Linked DNA regions of Astyanax mexicanus. The protein of the gene in region 1 binds, or shares a complex with, the protein of each later gene. Links are inferred from orthologs where the notes say so. Each region holds a gene or a part of one and is shown in the gene's direction. Other genes may lie near its edges. The genes, in order: ppp4r4 and serine/threonine-protein phosphatase 4 regulatory subunit 3.

Region 1 (10,115 bases):
GGTAGCCAGCCTGCTCAGAGGAAACGCAGCTACCCAGCTCTAACACATCAGCAAACAGACGCCTGTGTTAACCAACATCACCTTTTGGAACTGTTATCTACTCACCCAGAAAGAGCATGGCCAATTGTGTTCTCTCAGACTCCGGCTGCTGATGGCAAGCAGCATGACCTGGGATTCCAATCTTAGTGAGAGCACCTTAGTCTAATGGGCCACTTAGAGCCCCCATAACCAAGACAACTCTTTACATTTTAAACCCAAAGTTTAGCCATTTTAAATTCCTACCATTAGCTTGGACTATCAGACATTGCTACCAGTGTCAGGAGGGTGAAAGCTGGAATGCATTTCCTTCAAATAAAAGGATGCTTGATACTGCATATTTTCAGACTATGTTCAAGCAGAGTGATGTGAGGAGAGGGAGGGCCATCCTATAGCCACCCTTTGACAGTGATTTTACAGAAAGCAATGACATTCTCCCAGTGATGTGGTCATTGCTGAGGTCAATGCAACACTCAGGAGCCCCAGTGCTGTAAAATTCTGTGTTCAACTGACTTTCTACTAAAGTTTTTAAGGTAATATGTTTGACTTATAGAGCTGAAGTGACTTTGTCAATTCACTACTTGGAATGCTTCATCAAAACATCAATGTTGCAAGCAAGCAACTGTTTTGATGTTTCTCATATTTACAGTGTCAGTGACTCAAATGTCTGTAACCGAAGCTGTGGTAAAAAAAAAAAAAAGGTCCACATAGTACAAGTGCTGGCTCACTGTAAAGGGTGTGGGTCAGCATCACTTGGATTTGCATGTAGTTTAACAGGTTCTCTATTCCAGTGGTTCTTAAACTTTTTAGACTACATGCCTCCCTTGATCAAACTAAAACGTCCAACAACCACTCACCAGTTTTACTAGTTCGGCCTTGCTTTTGCAATCTGCAAATTATGAATTATTGTTACTGGTCTATGCAGTACGCAAATTAAGACATCTTGGAAAGCTTGAGACAGGGGGAAATAATTGGAGTGAACATGACATACCCTTGAGCCCTAGGGTAATTATTTAATTGTTAATCCTAATGCAGAGACCTGTGGGAATTGTGGAGTCCCACAAGGTTCTAGTGTAGGGCTTTTGGAACTGATGTTAATAATAATAGAACTGTACTTATGTGCGCTTACACTCAGAGTCTACAGGTTAAACACTAAACACAATTTAAATACTTAATATGTGAATTCATGCTGCAAATGTTCTGGGGTTTTCTTTTTGCTGCTGAAGAATTCAAACTGGCACCAGGTCTTTTCCTTCCAGTCCTTCATTGAGTTTATTTTAAAATAATTTATAACCACTTGCTCTGGATCATCTACCTTACAAGAAGAAGACAGACCCCAGTGCATAATCAGAACTTCAGAGGTCATTAGGTGTACTCTGCCAACACTTCACGACATTTGTAACAGCAGGGTCATGAAGAAACATTTCACCCAGTGGTCAACAGCACCCATCCTGCTGTGATTTTCATATTACTATGTGTATATGGAAGATAGAAAAATTATGTATCTCACATGAATTTAAAAATATATTTTTAAGTGTCATGTGAAACCATAAAAGCTAAATTTAAATGAGAGGGGGTAATTACAGAAATATAGGAACCACTTTTGATTTCATAATGAATGATGTGTATATGACAGAAATATGTGTGTAGAAAATTGATACAGTAGCCTGAAGTGAATATTTTAAATGTAAATGTAATGTTAAAATAAAAATGTTTTGTTTCAGGGTAAGTAAAATAACAAAACTTACAAACTAACAAATGCAACAAGTATGCACAGACATGTGAGCTCAAGCCTCAGAATGCTCTTTGGATCTGGCTGGGGTGATCCACTCAACAATCAAAATACCCAAACTAATGTCAAACGTTTAAATAAGACAGACTCATCCAGAATCCTTTCTAGAAAGTTTCTAATAATTTGTAGCTGATGTGCTGCACCTAATTTTATTTTTTTGACATATTAAGAAGCAATACATGTGGGAGTGTCCTTATTACCCCCATATTGTTAAAATAGAAATATACAGCAAGTAAAGCAAATAGGCTGGTGTGATGTAATGCCATACCAATCCATTAGCGACATAAGCAATACATTGGCATAAACTTTATTGTAACAGAACAGAACAGGTGTCAGGATGAGTACAGTATTTGGTGTCAGATAAGTTTGCACTGTAATTAATATTTGCCCCTGCCCTCTATGCCAGTGCAAATTAATAAGCTGTGAATAAGCGCTCTAAAGTTGTTCTACCACATAAATACCTAATACTTATTATACTGAATTGATATCAATGTAAATGGGTCAGTAAATGGATACAATATGTTATATCATTACATATGCCCTCTTTCAATTCATTTAATACATATTTTGCCAAAGTTTACATTTATATGCAAACACTTGACACATTTGAACCCTGTCTTTATGTTTCAGTCTAAGATAAATAGTACACATCCAAAATAACAGACCTTAGCAAAGAGGTTAGAAACAATATTAATTTATGTTAAAAAGAAAATGTAAAATTAATTAAACATCAGTTATCATGATGCAGTCCTACACACATCTGTTCCAAAGGTTTACCCATGTCTTCACACACGGCTGTGGTGGAGACGGTGTTTAGAGTGACCTGCAAAGAAGGGGTCATACTAGGACAGCTTGGAGGGATCCTGGGAAACCCACTGGGTCACAGACACAGAACTACAGACAACATTTCTCCCTAATTCCAAATAAAAAATTGTCATTTAGAGCATGTATTTGTAGAAAATGTGAAATGGCTAAAATATGAGCTTTCAGACCTCAAATAGAGCATAAATTCACAAAAATACTGTTGAAATTGTGGATAAAACCACTACCTCTCAGAGAGGTGGATAGACAGAAAGATGGATAGACAGAAAGAATCAGAGATCTTACTTCACTGTTCACTTTTTTCCCCAGTTTCAGTTACAAAAAGATGTTTACTCAATTCAGCTTAACCTATAAGAGAAAAGACCATCAAAGCTCTAGTGCTTAATGGTAGGTTTTGCTTAGTCATGGTGAACCAAAGGATAAGTTTACATACATGACCTATATAACCTCACTGGAAGAGTGTTGTTTTACTGTCTTTAAATAAGCATGCCCTCCCCTCTCCCCTGCCCAAACTGGTAACAGATAATGTACCTACTGTAATCACTGCAATTACGAAGGCACACTTCATGCTGAAATTTTTTCGTGCTTATTTTTTTGGAAATGAAGAGGATTAATATTAGGATGTTCATCACTGCTGCAGTACCATACTGCAGTCTTTAAACTATAAGTCAGTTGGTCCTAATACTGGTTCTGGAATACCTCTGTCCCTATTTATACCACTATTTAGGTGTTTTTCATGTCTACACATGAATAAAATATGTTACACCAATACAAATTATGTCATTCCTGTTTGCATTTTATCACCTTAAAATAACACACAGTGTTAATCCAAAATAGGGTTTTTAGAACGAGGCTAGAAATTGCTATTTTGTAGGATTGGCAAAAAAGTTTCTTCACAAATGTTTAATATGCTGTTTTTTTTACATTTAAAAGGCACACATGAAGTGCCACATATTAATGTCATACTGAGGACATTAAAACAATGCATTTTTTTCTCATTCACTAGAAGTTTATTAACTTTTAATATGTTTTGTTACTGATTTGGATATTGCATATTGAAGAGATGAAGAGAGATTTAAAGACCGGATTTTTTAAAACATGATTTATGACTTTTTACCCAATAAACATTAAAAAATATAAGTGGGCAGGAACGTCCAGAAAATTAAATATTAGAATAATGCGTGTGTGGCGTGAATGCGGACAGCAGGTGGCGCAATTTCATTACAATTACAAGACAAAACAAAGTTCCATTGCACCACAAAAAGTTTACAATACTCCTGGAACAAGCTCTTTAAGCTTATATTACATTATGTTACAGTACAATGTCACAGAAAATACCCTGAGGCTTGTGTCTATTTTTGATATTTTTCAGTATTTAAACTTTGAATCTGGCAGTTGTTCCTTACACAATCTTAAGGTTATACATGCAAATTTTGTATTATAAATGGCTCAATAGAAATACATGTAAATAATACATTTAAATATTTTTTTCCCTGTACAGTTACAGATAATTGTAAGCTCAACACAGACTTTGTGTGTGTGTGTGTGTGTGTGTGTGTGTGTGTGTGTGTGTTAGAGGGAATAAAAACTTAATATATAAAAATGGCAAGCCAGTTCTTTTGTTGTACCGATAGCTTCAAGATGTGCTGTGTGGTCTGTTGGCTACATTGGGATGTGAAGGGTGGTCTGCATGCAGCTTTCTGGGTGTGCTGGTTTAGGTATGCCACCAGTTTTATTGTGTGCCAGTGGAAGTGCTGGCTGCTTTGGAATGCGCTGAATACTGTACTGGCCGCCTTAGATGTGCCGGGGTGTGCCCACTTCTTTAAGATGTGCTGGATTATAGATATACCAGGTGGAGTGAATGCTGTTTTAGAAGTGCAGATAGCTTGTAAAAAATATATAATGACTAATTTAAATACTTTTTGCTCATCTGATTTTGCACTCATCTTTGATATTGGGAAAAAAGAGAGTTTCTAACTAATGTACTCTGAAAGTAGAGGTATGCAGAGAAGTAAAACGTCTAATTTATTAATTTTATTGTAGTAACCTGTCAGGTTCCTCCTCAGTTTCTTAAAAAAAGTTCTTAAATTCACTTTGTAGGCATATGTATGTATAAATGGGCTTTAGAAAGTTATTTTCAAAAATGTTTTGGTTTGTACTCTATATAATGTGGTTTGGGACTCAATGACAAGGAGAAAATGTGGGTCCCTGGCTGAGACCGGATGAGAACCCCTGGTGTAGAGTACTTCTGATACACAGTAGATGCAGAAAATGCAATTTGTTCTATGACCTAGTGAGTAAAAACTGCTTTAGTTTTTCTTGATGTTCTTTTTTAGATCAATTACCTCGTTTTTGTATGCAATCAAGAAACTACATATTACAGTAATTTGTTGTATTTTAAGAGTATATATATCTGTGATAAGGGGTGTGATTATTGTGATTGCTGCATAAATTTGGGATTTTTCGGTGAACCATCCCTTTACGTCAGAAGTCAGAACTGTCCAATAGGAGAGGAGCTAAGTTTTGGTCAGAGTTTATGCAGGAGGAGAAGTCCTGCTTTTACGTCTCTCTGGTGCTGCATCAGACTCCTGTTTACGCGTGTTTTTCTCTGTGTCCACGGCTTTTGTGCTCTCTCTGCAGGTCATCATCACGGGCTGATGACGAGCTGAAGTCCGCGCGCCGTGACGCGCCTGAGCTGCTCTACACTACGGTGGCATGCGGTCTCCATGGCAACCGGCTGAGTTGGTGCAGTGCGTTTGCGTGGTGTGGAGCGGTTTGTTCTGGCTGCACAATTTTTACTCCCAGCTCTTTTAACGTCGGAAAACCAGCGCTGTGTACAGCGGAGCGGACACGGAGCGTATCTAGCGCATTTCAGACATTACTGTGATCAGAGCTGGGCGGCGGGGGACGGTTATAATGAGAGGTTTTCGTAGCGTTTCGGAGACTGGCGGAGTCGTGAGTGAGTGGACGGGCTGCTGCCTCGAATGATCAACTTAGCTTTAGGTTAGCTGGAGCTAAATAACGCTAAGATAGCTAACCGACAGAATTTATGTAAGAGCTGGGTTAGCTATAGCTAGCTAACTGTCTGTACCAGCTAGTTTAAGGCTTTTCACGTCGAAGAGGTAGCTTATCTAACGAGCTTTAACTAGCTTTAGCCTCACACTAACGATTTTTTCGGTTGGGTTTTGGACTTTATGAACGACTATCGACTTTATAAACGACTTTATGAACGCGTCACGTCTGATAGTAATTAATTAGTTAACTAGCTTAGTTAATTAGCTAGCTGGGTTTGATAGGTTTGTTCTTATGGCTTGTAGTGATGGTTTGGCCTGCAGTTAACTAAACTAGCTAGTTAGGTAGCTTAACTAGCTAGTCAGAGAAGGCTAGGTAGGTTAATAAGCTAACGCTAGTTAGTTAGTTAGCTAACAGCTAGTTAACTATCTAAGGCAAACGTCGCCCGCCACTTAGTCCCTCAGCCTGCCAGCCAGTCATTCTCATCGGCTGTGTATAAGTGTGACCGGTGTTCTGTCAAGTTGTGTTATGCTTCTATATGTGCTTCTTACACCAGTGCGCAAGCGCAGATCTGCATTTTTTTTGTTTTAATGTAAGTTTTCATGTGTTTTTCCGGTAATTCTGTTTTTAATCGCCCTGCCTCTATTTGAATTTGTATTGCAAATGTGTAAATGGCAGTTAATAATAAAAGTAATAATAAGACTATAAAAATATATAAAAACTGGTTCTACTCTACTCACTTTTCCTTTAACTGATATATTGATTGAGACTTTCAAAAAAAATCATACCGAGACTTTTTTAGCGTGCATTTTTAAATATGGTGCTTTTTATCTGGTATTTTTGCGTTTAAATACTCACTTGGGTAGCACGGTTTGACGGGGTAGCACAAATCGACAGAACACCCGTATGTGTGTGGATGTAAGTGTGTGACAGCTACGGCAATGGGAAAACTAGCCTTTGCACAGCCACCCATATTCCTCACAAAGTTCAACAGCATCCCTCGTTCACGGGAATCCCAGCTCTGCGTCGCGTGGTTTTGCCAACGCCAGTGCTTTTCCACCTCCTTCCCGACTGGATACGACTAGAGGCTTCTGAACACAGCAGAGCATCTTCAGCAGGAGCAGCACCACCACCACCACCCGATGAATTAGTTATAGCCAGCCATCTAACCTAACCTAGCTAAGTCCTGCTATAACCTGAAGGAGGGATACTGTTTTTCTTCTTTTTCTTGTCGTGGGAGGAACAGCTCCTTCTTCTCCCAGGAAAAGTCGAATCAGCGTTAAGACTTAGCTAAGGACCTGCAGTCATGACTGAGGAGCTGTAACAGACAAGAGAGGACTTCTTCTCTCTCCATCACATCCATAAACAGCACCAAACCAAACCGGGACCAGATGTTTGTCGGCAAAATGACTCTTAGCCAGTCCGGTCTGTTTGGGCAGATAGATGACCTGCAGGACCTCACGTTCATCGAGAGACCTATACGCAGGAGCCTAAAGGTAACGAGAGTTAAATAGTTATCTCAACTACATTCACCTAGCCAACATAACTAGCTAACAATCATTTATTCATTTTCAGTTAGGGGTTTATCATGTTCTTTTTATTGAGCAACCATGAAATTGCTTGAGGTTGAACCTGTTTTTTAGTTTATGTAAGAGAGTATGTATAGCGTTATCTAAGTGGCAGGCTGTGTATTATAAATATGAAGGCGTGTGTGTTAAATTAAGCTAACAAGCTCACCTTAACATCATTTGATCCCCTAATCCCTAATGAAATAGTGATAACTAGCTATCCTTATTCTCTGTGGCGAGAAACAGGTGGATTTTGATTTGCTTCAGATGGGTCATTGATTTGCTTCATGTGCCCTTCTGTTCTGTTAAACACCTACCCAAACTGTTTCAGATACTAGATTATTATTATTCTTTAGCTCTAAGGTAAATTCATTGCTGCTGCTCCTCATTGAGAAGAAGCACGGTATGTGAGGAGTTACTGTGGAGGAGGCTAGACGCTGCTGCTGCTGCTGCTGCTGGTAGGGAGGCTGGGGGTTGCCCACATCGCTTTAGAGAGAGAGTGACGCAGTTTCTGTCAGCTGTGCGCATCCCTACCTTGCCTCCTCCACGCCACTCCACTGCAGTATGTCTACCAGATTTCACAGGCTTTCTACCATGCCCAATAACAGCATTCCTACTTATGTAGCTAGCTAGATGTGTAAAGCTGTATTTATTATCCTATACGCCACAAGCCATGAAAGCTGCTCTACCTCCAGCAGCAGAATGAAGAAGATGAGATTACTCTCATCCTCTCTTGCCCGAATATAGGCTTATCACACACCGGATGGAAGGAATTTGTTGCGTACGAGGAGGGCGGGTGTTTTCTACCCATGCTCGATTTTTTTGTAGGGAGGTTCCTGCAAGAAGCTTTTCGGCTAATGAGAGAAGCCCTGAAGTAATAGACTCGTCGCCCACATGGCTCCCGTCCCCCACACTTTCTTCCCACGCAGTCCATCGTGCTTCACATCCTGCCTCGCTGCAAACCCCCTCACACATTTGGCTGAGTCATCTTTAAGCCGTAATGGAATTGGTTGATGTCCATCCACCTATTTCATATAAAGATTCTTATGAAGCATAGGTTTATTTTGACGTGAGATACTCAAGGCCGCCTGTGTGTGCAAAGGATTACATGACATATCTGCCCTGTTGTCTGCCAGCCATTAAATATACTCGGTTATTTTAAACACTGTCTGTTTAGTACAAGTAAAAATAAAGTTCAAGATTTTAAGATCAATCAATATGTTTTTATTATATTTGTTTATGTATGTATTTATGCATGTATATATCCTTTTATGTTTTTCAGACTGCAGAAGAGATTGACAAGTTAACTGTTGATGAAGATCTGAATGACATAGAGCGGGCAGTCTACCTCCTCAGGTAAAGACAATGGCAAATTCTCTACAATATTAATGTACAGAAATTGCTTATTGAACTTTTGGACCACAAGCTCTAAAATGGTTCAACACTACAAAAGCCAATAATAATTATAATAAAACAGAATAATCACAATAGCCATATTTGAATTATCTTGATTTCCACTTCGGGCTCTCAGAACTGAAAAAAATAGTGACAGATTTTAAGGAATCAGGAGTCACAAGGAGTCACATATATCATTCTTATTTCTTAAACTCAAACAGCAAAAATAAGTGAAGGCTACATTCGTACAGGGATTTTGTTGGTTTCTGTTAAGGTATAGGTTTTAGCTGTTTATAATTTGAGATTATTGTGCTCTATCATACAAAAATGAAGTATTATTATGTATCTACATTTTTAAAACAAGCATAAGTTTAATTATTGTGTTTTTCCTGTACCAGAAAGCCTGCAGAATCTTGAGACTGGTTTAGGGGTGTACAATTTTGGTCAATAAACTGTCATTTTATAATTTTTCTTCATATTTCTCCAGATAATACAATAAATAATATGTAAATACACAGAATGGACAGCTTCAGCACAGGTCCATTTGAACTCAGTGTAGTGTAGGTAACCAAAGATTAAAATAATTGTGAACTTGTAATGTGAAAATAAATTGGAAAACATGAATTCAGTTACCTTCTTTTCCATGTATAACATGCAGAATTTGACATTTTACACCCCCTCTTGTATTATTATAAAAAATATTTATTTATTAATATATTAATGTAAAACATTATGTGGTTTGAATTAAATAGTCGTTATTTAATACCATAAGGTGTAGTCTGCAGTATGGGAGCCCTTTATACAAAAATCCATATTCTAATAGATTGTCAGGCTTGTTTTCTTGTGCATAATTTTGCCCTAGTTGTTTGTTCATAGCTAAAATAACACTAACATGTATTTGGGTAAAGCTGTACGCTTCATGACTTCTCATCGCCTACTGCCTGATGTAGAGCGTACAGCTCAGCTGGTCATGGGATGCTGTGTCGTCGCTGATGTACACGTCTCATGAATAATGCAGGTAGTGAGTGGCCTCTCATTGATGTCTCTGGCAAAGTTAACTGTGTGCCAGTCTCTGGAGGACCAGACTTCTAAGAGACACCATTCTTAATCCAGTGCGTTACTGACACTGAAATGCACAGGTACAACAGAGATGCATCACTATCTGATGGAGGATTTAAGCTTATTAAAGTTGGATGGGCTGGTTCTGATTACTCAGGAGATTGGATTATACTTTTATCAGATTTCCTTAGAACTCTCCACTTCACTGGGAGAATCCTGCCAAAAACGCACTGAAAGTTTGTCTTGTTTTTGTTCTCATGGACCAAAAAAATAAACATCTTCATTGTTTCCTTTATTTTGTGTAAAATTATATATCTCAGTAAAACTGTTATATTGTGATATGTTCATATTTTATGTATTAAAGTAACATTTTTCACATTGAAGAATAATTGGATGATAGGTTTATCTGTTTACAGTTAAGCTCTAGGCAA
Region 2 (10,734 bases), on another chromosome or scaffold:
TGTGAAACTGTTGTTTTGTTGAATTAGAATAATGGAGAAACCGTTTCATTGAATTAAAATAAATGCTCGAATTTTTGTTTTCTGTGAAGAGTGTTCACTGTGCAGTATAAAGTCAGGGTTGAGTAGAATTTCTAAGTTGTAAAATCAATCATGGGTAAGCAGCGCGACCTCTCAACCGGAATAGTGGCTCAAATTCAAGCCCTTCGCCAACAAGGCTTGACCCAAACTAAAATTGCTGCAGTCTTCCGTCTGCAAAGCTCTCAAGAAAAACTGCAGCAAGCGCACCAACTGTTCCGGCGTCCGAAAAACTTCTGCTCGCGACAACAAGCAGCTGAGAAAGATCGCAGTCAGCAACCGGTTCAAGTCCACTTCCGAGCTCACCGACTTGTGGAACAAGCAGACCGGCGCTGACGTCTCCAGATCAACCACTTACCGTCGTCTGCGCGAACTTGGCTTCAAATCTCGCGTTCCAGCAGTAAAACCGATGCTGAACAAGAAACAAATGGAGAAACGGCTGAAGTGGGCCAAAGAACACGGCGAGTGGACTGCTGAAGACTGGCAGAAAGTGGTCTTCAGTGACGAATCACGCTTCTGCATCTCCTTCGGTGACCAAGGTCCTTGTGTCTGGCGTCGTGGTGGCGAAACCTACAACCACGAGTGCGTGAAAAGATCCGTCAAGTTTCCCCAGAGCGTTATGGTCTGGGGATGCATGTTCGCTCGAGGTGTAGGGAAACTCTGCTTCCTCAAGAAGACTGTCAATGCTGCCGTATATCAAGATGTTCTGGAAACGTTCCTGATTCCGACTGTTGAGGAACAGTTCGGCGAAGAAGACTTCATATTTCAACAGGATCTTGCACCGGCTCATGCGGCAAAGTCGACCAAAGATTGGTTCACTAAAAAACAGCTTGAAGTTTTGGCATGGCCGGCCAACTCGCCTGACCTCAATGTCATTGAAAACCTTTGGGCCATCGTCAAGCGGAAAATTCGCGACAGAAAGCCTACTACGCTGGACCAACTGAAGCAGAACATCGCCACTGCCTGGGAAGCTGTGAGTGCGGAAACTTGCGACAAGCTGGTCAAATCGATGCCGCGGAGACTTCAGGCAGTCATACAAGCCAAGGGGGCAGCCACAAAATACTGAGAAAGTGATGATTGTAATTATAATAAAAATTATTCTAATTCAATGAAACGGTTTCTCCATTATTCTAATTCAATAAAACAACAGTGTCACAGTTAAATGGCCTAAATGGGCCTTTTGGAAAGCTCAGCTGAGCAGATTCCAGGTAACGAGTTCTGTGATTAGTCTAACGAGTAGGACAGGTGCGGTGAACACCTGATTTGCTTTCTGCACAAAAAATGCATTCAAAGAATTTCATGATTGCACTATTTCAAATTATTCTAATTCGTTGACCAGCACCTGTATATATATATATATATATATATATATATATAGTGAGGAAAATAGGTATTTGAACACCCTGTGACTTTGCAAGTTCTCCCATCATGGAGGGGTCTTCATCTTAGGTGCATGTCCAATATGAGAGACATAATCTTAAAAAAAAAAGACCAGAAATCACCATGTATGATTTTGTTCATAATTTATTTGTGTGTTACTGCTGCAAATAAGTATTTGAACACCTGTGAAAATCAATGTTAATATTTGGTACAGTAGCCTTTGCATGAAATTACAGAGGTCAAACGTTTCCTGTAGTTTTTCACCAGGTTTGCACACGCTGTAGCAGGGATTCTGGCCTATTCCTCCAAACAGATCTTCTCCAGATCAGCCAGGTTTCTGGGCTGTCGCTGAGAAAAACGGAGTTTGAGCTTCCTTCAAATATTTTCTATAGGGTTTGGGTCTGGAGACTGGCTAGGCCACTCCAGAACCTTGACGTGCTTCTTACGGACCCACTCCTTGGTTATCTTGGCTGTGTGCTTTGGGTCATTGTCATGTTGGAAGACCCAGCCACGACCCATCTTCAGTGCTCTAACTAAGGGAAGGAGGTTGTTCCCCAGAATCTCGCAATACATGGCCTTGGTCATCCTCTCCTTAATACAGTGTAGTCGTCCTGTCCCATGTGCAGAAAAAAAACGTCCTCAAAGCATGATGCTTCCACCCCCATGCTTCACAGTAGGGATGGTGTTTTTGGGATGGTACTCGTCATTCTTCATCCTCCAAACACGTCAAGTGGAATTAAGAATAAAAAATTCTATTTTGGTCTCATCTGACCACATAACTTTCTCCCACGACTTCTCTGGATCATCCAAATGGTCATGGGCAAATTTAAGATGGGCCTGGACTTGTGCTGATTTAAGCAGGGGAAACATCCGTGCCATGCATGACTTTAAACTATGACATCATAGTTCTTCAGGTCATTGACCAGCTCCTCCCGCGAGTTCTGGGCTGATTCCTTACCTTTCTTATGATCATTGATATGCCGGGAGGTGAGATCTTGCATGGGGCTCCATTCTGAGGGAGATTGACAGTCATGTTTAGCTTCTTTCGTATTTTAATAATTGCTCCATCAGCTGATCTTTTTCCACCAAGCTGCTTAACAATTGCCCCATAGCCCTTTCCAGCCTTGTGGAGGTCTACAACTTTGAACAGCGTTTTGGTCTTAACTATGTTAGTAGTTGGAGTCTTACTGATTGTGTAGGCAGGACAGGTGTCTTTATGCAGCTAACATCCTCAAACAGGTCCTTCAAAATTAGAATAATAAGTGGATTGGAGGTGGACTTTTTAGAGGCAGACTAACCGGTCTTTGAGGGCCAGAATTTTTGCTGATTGGCAGGTGTTCAAATACTTATTTGCAGCAGTAACACAATCAATTATTTAAAAATCATTTTTTTTCATGTTTTTTTTTTTAGATGTTTTTTAGATGTCTCTCACAGTGGACATGCACCTAAGATGAAAATTTTAGACCCCTCTATGATTTCTAAGTGGGAGAAATTGCAAAGTCGCAGGGTGTTCAAATACTTATTTTCCTCACTGTAAGTGTCTGACTAATGTAGATTGTAAAACAATTAAAGCATTAGTGCTGAATTCTCACATATGAATTCTTACTTAGTGCTGCTTAAATGTGCTGTTTAAACGATGTGTGTTATACCTGCATTTACAGGTGAAATATTTTGGACGTGACCCGACAGATGGAAGGATGAGGTTGTCTCGTAAAGTGCTTCATTCTCCTACAGCCACAGTGGTGAAGACTCTTAATGACAAACAGAGTATCACTATGGGAACAACACACGGCCTGTCTGAGACTTCCCCCTGACCTGCAGGACTGCTCAGGAGTATTAGGGGCATGTAGGGTATCAGCAATTCAGTGTATTTCTTTGTTCAGTTTCCTTCACTCAGACATTGAGAGGGGGGTTCACTCCAGCCTTCTCACATTAACGGATATAAGAGAACATGGGGATCTCATGTTTTTATTTATGTAACCATAGTCCAGTACATTTAGATATTTCATGAGTGGGTATTGTTTTATAGGATATTTTTGTTTATATGCACTTTTTTAACAAATAAAAAATTGGGAAAATAAATTTGGCTTCTGTGGTCAAGAATGTCAATCAATTGTGAAATCCTTTAGAGGAAATGTTTCCTGTTTAAAGTTTAAACAAATAACACCCGAATTGTTGCAAATCTCAGCATGTGCCTCAGGCAGTATGTTTTCAGGTGTGGTCTGATTATAGGACACTGAATCTTGCCATTAGGAGTGTGTTAAAGTGTTTACATTTCAGAAGGTACTTTTAGGAATTGTACCTCTTGGTGAGAGATATATTGTTTGTATTAATCTTTACATTCATTAAATGTTTAACTTGTTTGCATTTTCTTTTTGCTGGTACTATGTGTTCTTGCAGTGTATGTATGAAGGGACATTTAAAGGGGGTTCCTGCAGTAGTTTAAACACATTAGACAGGTCTGTTTTATTTGAACAGGTGTTACTGTTACTGCTTTTTGACCTGCCAAAGAGACAGAATAAATACACCAATAATTCAAATATTAAAATTCATTATACATAAACCTACACTCAGTGGCTTATAAAAGGGTAGCACCCAATTTCAAAAGTCTCCGGACGTCCAAAACGGACGTGTTAACCGCCCTCCTTCGCACCAAATGCGCCTTTATTTATTAATTAATTAATTTATTTATTTGTTCGTCTGTTTGTTTGTTTGTATTTTGGGCAGTTATATTTGTTATGTTCTTATTATTATGTTTTATGTTCTTTGTTAGGTAAATGTCAAAATAACCATAATTATCATTTAATGAATTAATGATTATTGCAATAATTTTGACATTTACCTGACAAAGCGTTATGGAAAAATCCCTCCCAAAACTACCTTTATTTAACATTGCCTAATAGGCATTGGTTAGTGTTGAAATTCTGACATGGAATCAATGTTCATTTAAATGTTTAGAATGGTTGGGGCTTTGAATCTACACTTACAATGATTTTAGGTGAAAGGTGCTTCCTACAAATAATAATATACATTTTAATAATAATTATTAAAGTGTCTTCTTCTACACTGCAAGACCACAGTGCTGGGAGACGTGTGTTGAAATCGCAATTTCATATAAATTGATTTATCTTTTGAGAAAAAAATATCAAATGAATTATAATAAAAAAAAACTATGGTTACATTAGCAGCAAAAAAGAGTGCATTATTTGCAATGTAATTAGGGTAAGTGGGGACATGAATACAAGTTTGCTGTCTTCTATTGGACAACACTTTTTGTTGTTTTATATCATAATACAAAGACACTAGTTATAATTAATGGTGATTTAAATGGTTGATGACTTAATGGTTTTCAATCATTTAAATCTTTGAAGTAGATTCAGAGACTTGCCAAAAGTAAATTTAAAAAAATCTTTGAAAATATTACAGGATTCCCAAATAATTTCCGATGTTCCTTTTTTGTCCTCTTTTTATTGTTTATTTTTGTATATAATTTAATAATAATGAGAAAACGAACTAACAAACCTGCGCGTTTTCCCTGCCGATCCCCAGTCGGCTGCCGTAGCCCCTCTCGGGAGACCCCGCGGCGGAACAGTGCTTTGATTGATGTTTTAAGGGAGAAAAGGGGAGTTCGATTCAACTCACAGAACCGACTCTTTTGAACTGTCCGATTAATGAGTTGAACGTCGGATTCAGAGATTCACTTCCGTTCACTTTGGATTTCATCAGCACACACTGAGTTAACAAAATATAATATTTATTTTATAGAAAACACCAAGCTTTTAATTAGTATTTCTGGAAAAGTATTACATAGCATGGGCCTATTATACAAAATACAAAACATAAATTACCTCACATTTATGTATACAATTATTCTTTCTACTTAGTAATTTAGTTGGTAATTTATGGTAATCTTAAAAAATACACCTTTGTATTAATGATATAAATAAGATAATAATAAAAAATATACCAATAACAAAAAAACATATTTGCTTGCCTCTTTTAGGAATAAAAATGCAAATATGGCATTTGTTTTGTGTCAAAATTTCATGACAAATAAAAAGAAGAAATACACATGTTCTAGCTAAATAAACTTAATTAGACATTAAGACAACACTGATATTATTTGTTCTGCTATGTATGTGTGTACAGTATATGCTTTAATTGCAGCTAATGCCTTAATGTCTAATTGAATGTATTTACTGTTTCGCTATTGTTTTTTCTTTATTATTTTGTTTAAGGCATATCCACAATGTTATAGTCACCCTGTAGCTATGTTTACTGTCTAAATAAACAAAGAAAAGAGAAATTCTCTCTTATTTTGTACCTGCACTGAGAATTTCGGAAGGTATTCTGTAGCAACAAAATGAACAAGCTAAAAAGAAAATCTCTTCTGTTAAATGAAAATATTAAAGAGCTGTATAAAATCACAACATTAAAAAAAAAAAAAAAAATATATATATATATATATATATATATATATATATATATATATATATATATATATATATATATATACTATTAATAATACTGATTTAATGCTATTATTTTTTTTTATAAAAATACATTACATTATCACACATTATCTCTATTTTTTTCCAGAGCTTTGTATGGGGTTTAACTCGTTGGAGCTTGTGAACCGATTCTACTGTCTGAGTCACGATTCGTTTGGTTGTAGAGTCACCATCACTAACACCAGATCGGATTACAAGATGGCGGTCGGTGGGTGAGAGAATACGGCCGCTGGAGATCAAACTGGTCTGGGGGTTGTTTTTAGTGAGCGGAGTGCTGGTAAATGAGGAGCGGGAGATCTTCGGGCTGGTAGAGAGTGGAGAAGTGCGTTTCTGAGCTCGTGTGGGGGAACATGCGGTTAGTAACAGAGTTTAAAGCCCGGGGTTGAGGAAAAAACAGCGGAGAAAACAACAGCGGCGGCGGCGGCGGCGTTCACGGAGCCGATTCACCGAGACCGACCATGTCGGACACCAGGCGGCGGGTTAAAGTTTACACGCTCAACGAAGACCGACAGTGGGACGACAGAGGGACCGGGCACGTCTCCTCTACTTATGTGGAGAGACTGAAGGGAATATCGCTGCTGGTTCGGGCTGAATCCGACGGTAAGGCTAATGCTAAAGCAAGGATAAGCTAAGCTAAGCTAAGCTACATGAAACGGTTAGCTTGTTAGCTAGTCAGTTTAGCTAGCTATCTATTTATCTTAATGCTGTCTATACGCTACACGACTTTAAAAAGACTCTGAAAAGGCTTTTAACAGAATAAAGTCTAAAGATTAGACTCACGTTTAGTGACAGGATAAGATGTAGTAAACACTGATGATAACTGTTAACTGTTTTCAGGACTGCAACTAGATTCTTTTTGAGATTATTTCCCATCATGCTTTTGGTGGAGTTTAACGTTACACACAATACAAATTACATATTTAGTTACAAGTAATAAGTATTTCAATATTGTGATTTATCAGAGACTCACAACTTTTGTCCCCAACAACAGTTTATTTTTCCGCCACACTGTTAGTTCTTGATATTTTTAATAGAATACATTGTGTTTAACTCCGCCTATAAAACCTCTTAAAATGCCTTGTCCCGTGTAAGGGCTACAGGTGTAGGTGATACAAAACCCCCTTTTCTCCTTTGGAGTGAAATAACTTATTTACATTCTGAAAATTTTGAGGGATTTGAAATCTCCTACAGGACACTTAGAGAAGCTGTCTGTCCACTCTCTACTCAACTTAATAATTCCATGCCAGTAAAATGAATCAACCCTAATTCTGTATGTTTAAAAACAGACGTAAAAACTAGACAACCATAATGAAACTAAAGGTTTGGAGGACATTAACTGTTTGATTTGTATTTAGGAAAATATTTATTTTAAAATAAAGGTCAGGAAAGAGCCAATTTAATGATTTTATTCGTTATATTTTGACATTTACAGATTTTTTATTTCTGTTTCTGCAAAAATTAATCTCAGAGAGGTACCCACTAGAGACCACTCTAGTTTCATAATCAGTTTCTTTGATCTTGCTGTTTATAGGTATATGTTTGAGTAAAGTGAACATTGTTGTAGAAATGCTTATAAAAATGCACTGCTTTCAAACATCAAACAATGAGAAAAAAACAAGTCCACATTCATAACGTTTTAAGAGTTATTTAAACTCCACACTTAATTGGAAGTACCAAAACATTTAAAATAGTTTGTACTGAAGTATTTCAAGCAATTTATTTAAAAAAGGCTGCAAAATTAATCAAATTAATTTGATTAAATGTATTACTTTTTTTTGGCATAGTAATCACTATTGTTTATCTTTACATACTATATAAGCTACCAGAGGAAATCTCAGTAGGTTAATTTAAATTAAATGGAAAAACAATACCTCCCACATCACTTTAAATGTGCTACTTGTTTACAAATGAAAACATAATTAGGTTGTTGTGTACAAAGCCTGTTAAAGTAAAAAAAAAGGAATGGTCCTTTACGTGAATGCTGACATTTTTAATCAAGGCAAGGTTGAGTGTTGCTTGTACAATAACAACAGACTTAAACTAGCAATTTCTAGGCAAGTAAACATTCATTGTTTCTTATTAACTTAGATTAGGTGGTAAGTATAGAGTAAAGGCTATCAGGATTTTAAAAGAGTGATAAGGAGAGAGACTACTAAGCAGTCAACAGGTCATCCAGAGTGTTGCCCAATGTGTTAGTACGACTTTCCTATGCTTTTTTTTAATGCTGGGATTGATTTATTTATTTATTTATTTAAGTTCGCATTATGAGGATAAATGTAAATAAGTATAATGAATAATACTATTTAAATCTTATAATGAATGTAAACAAAAATGGATGTTACTGTGCTGAGTTAGTCCTTCACGTAATAAAAGGTAAAAAAAAAAAACTATGCTTACTGTAAATATACCTAAATAAATCAGAAATCGAATTGAATTTCTGATTCAGATTTGAATAAATTCCGTAAATAACTGGTGATTATACCCTACTGTTCATATACACTTCATCTGTTTTGATTTTATATACAGCATGCGACTGTGTAATTAATCATCCCTTTCACTTTCATATTGGTGAATGATGCATGTACTGAATCTTGATAGATGTCTGTTTAGATGTGGAACAGCTAATCAAGTTCACATTTCTTCAGCAGGATATAGTGCCACCTTTGAGTCATGTTGTTTTTGATGTTAATCATCTAACCACTGACAAGCCAGTCACCCTTTGTAAATGGTCTTACACACTTAAAATGTTTAGGCCTGGTGGACTGGGCTTTTTCTACACATATACAACAGTGATGAATCTGTGGACGGTTGTATTTAAAACAGGTCAAAGAAAGAATCTTTACTACGGGACACTTCATCTTTATGTAATTATGTAATTATTTTGACAGCAAAGCAATTTAAGTGCCACTCCTCAATCTCTTATTAACTTTGGGTAAATTTTGTGATGTGTGCTTTCTGGATTTTTTTTTTTTTCAGGCTCACTTTTGTTGGAGTCCAAAATCAGTCCAAATACAGCATATCAAAAGCAACAAGTAAGTGTTGATCCACAGTTTTGTGTTTTGGGTTAATTATTGGTTTCAATCTTTAAAGGACACTTGCTATCTATACAGCTTCTTATTTCTGTAAATGTTCATGTTTTTCTCTTAGGATACACTCATCGTTTGGTCCGAAGCAGAAAATTATGATCTTGCCCTAAGTTTCCAGGAAAAGGCAGGTTGTGATGAAATCTGGGAGAAGATCTGTCAGGTAAACAGTTAAATGTGTTTTTGCAAATTATCTGTTACTGAGGCTGGAAAATCAAGTAGTTATTTCTACGTATCTTCTAGCAGTATATTGAGAAGAACTCAAAAACAAAGTTTGTACCAATGTAAAGCAGTGTTTTTCCTTTAATTGTGTAATTGTGTTTAATTTATCGTAATACAGGTGTGAGGTTATTACCCATGGTTTACAGAAATGCCAAGCACACGTTCTGGATGGGACAGTCTTAGCAGCTTATATTTTTAAAATTGGTATACCTAAAATGTGTTGTTAAATATTGCTCTGATAGAAACTTTTACTGTAATACATTTCACAAATGGGCAGTCTAAAAAGTGAGAATAATTGTGCCTAAATACCTGCTGGTGCTTTTTCTTTTCACACCGGCTGTATAAAAAGGCTGTGTAGGCTATGTTCGGTTCACTACTTGCTTTCCAGCCCTGCTGTAGTTCACAGGGAATGCACAGTAGTCCCACACAGTTGATTTAACAGCAACAGGCGGGTCCTATAGCTCCTGTGTATTAGAGGTGTGCCAAAAAATCGATTCACATAAGAATCTTGATTCTCATTTACTACGATTCAGAATCGATTTAAAATGTCCCAAAATCGATTCTGAGGGGCGGGTTTTGGACTGATTTTGGGCTGGGTATTTTTGTTGGACCTGGCAACCCGCTTGTCCCTTCAAACCGAGGTCTTCCAGACACACACAGAGCGTAGGTGTTTGAGAATCACCGGTAAGATGGCAGAACAAGCACTATATTACCTTAGATTAACGTGTAGTTTCAATGTTTTATGGCAGAATGCTTCATAACAAGCATAAAAAAGATCGCTAGTAGTTAGTTTCAGTAACTGTTAGCTAGCTAACAAGCTAACTTTCCAGTTCCACCTTAAATAACGCTACAGGTGGCTGCGGGCTGCAGCATTTAAGGCGGAACGGAAAAATAACAATAAGCTAATCAGAGCTCATTTCAGCTCCTCATCACAGAGGAATTAAGGAATGGACAATATGAATTAATTTCTCCACCTCCTGCCCCCTTTCTGAAGAAATACAACGACCTTAAATTAACTAGTTAATCAGCAGCTGCTCCTGAACTTTAGCGCTCCACTGCTATCATCACATCAGCCCAGCAGCGTCACCTACACACCACCGCTAGTAGCCTGGTAATAAAGCAGTGTTATTTATTATTTATTTATTGTTCATTAACGTCATTGTGATATCCCAGTGATTTCTCTGTCACTGAGGACCCACATTCCTGCACATTTTATTGTTTTTGTAACACATTACTTGCTCCAGGACCAGTGTATATTATGGAGGGTTTTTTTTCAATAAGATTCATAAGCCAGAAGCAGAAATTTTTATAATTCAAATCGTTTTGAATCAAAAATCGATTTTGAATCGAATCGTGGCCCCCAAAATCGGAATCGAATCGAATCGTGAGATAGTAATCGATTCCCACCCCTACTGTGTATATTATACACTCTCAGGTGTTCAGAGCAAAACTCTCATGGCAGG

What was found.
Region 2: ppp4r4 (region 1) and serine/threonine-protein phosphatase 4 regulatory subunit 3 share a complex: the UniProt entries of both Homo sapiens proteins name them as parts of the PP4 complex. The link is inferred for Astyanax mexicanus from reciprocal best matches to the Homo sapiens genes PPP4R4 and PPP4R3B.

The regions. Positions count from the first base shown.
Region 1 is NC_064408.1:77,292,300-77,302,414, forward strand, and holds the start of ppp4r4 (serine/threonine-protein phosphatase 4 regulatory subunit 4), read left to right. Parts: upstream 1-5,238; 5' UTR 5,239-7,053; coding exon 7,054-7,158; intron 7,159-8,512; coding exon 8,513-8,586; intron 8,587-10,115. UniProt on the Homo sapiens protein: Putative regulatory subunit of serine/threonine-protein phosphatase 4.
Region 2 is NC_064432.1:16,151,228-16,161,961, reverse strand, and holds the start of serine/threonine-protein phosphatase 4 regulatory subunit 3, read left to right. Parts: upstream 1-6,141; 5' UTR 6,142-6,424; coding exon 6,425-6,566; intron 6,567-8,942; coding exon 8,943-8,998; intron 8,999-9,113; coding exon 9,114-9,212; intron 9,213-10,734. Other genes in the region: polyribonucleotide nucleotidyltransferase 1, mitochondrial, read left to right, coding at 3,117-3,269. UniProt on the Homo sapiens protein: Regulatory subunit of serine/threonine-protein phosphatase 4 (PP4). May regulate the activity of PPP4C at centrosomal microtubule organizing centers.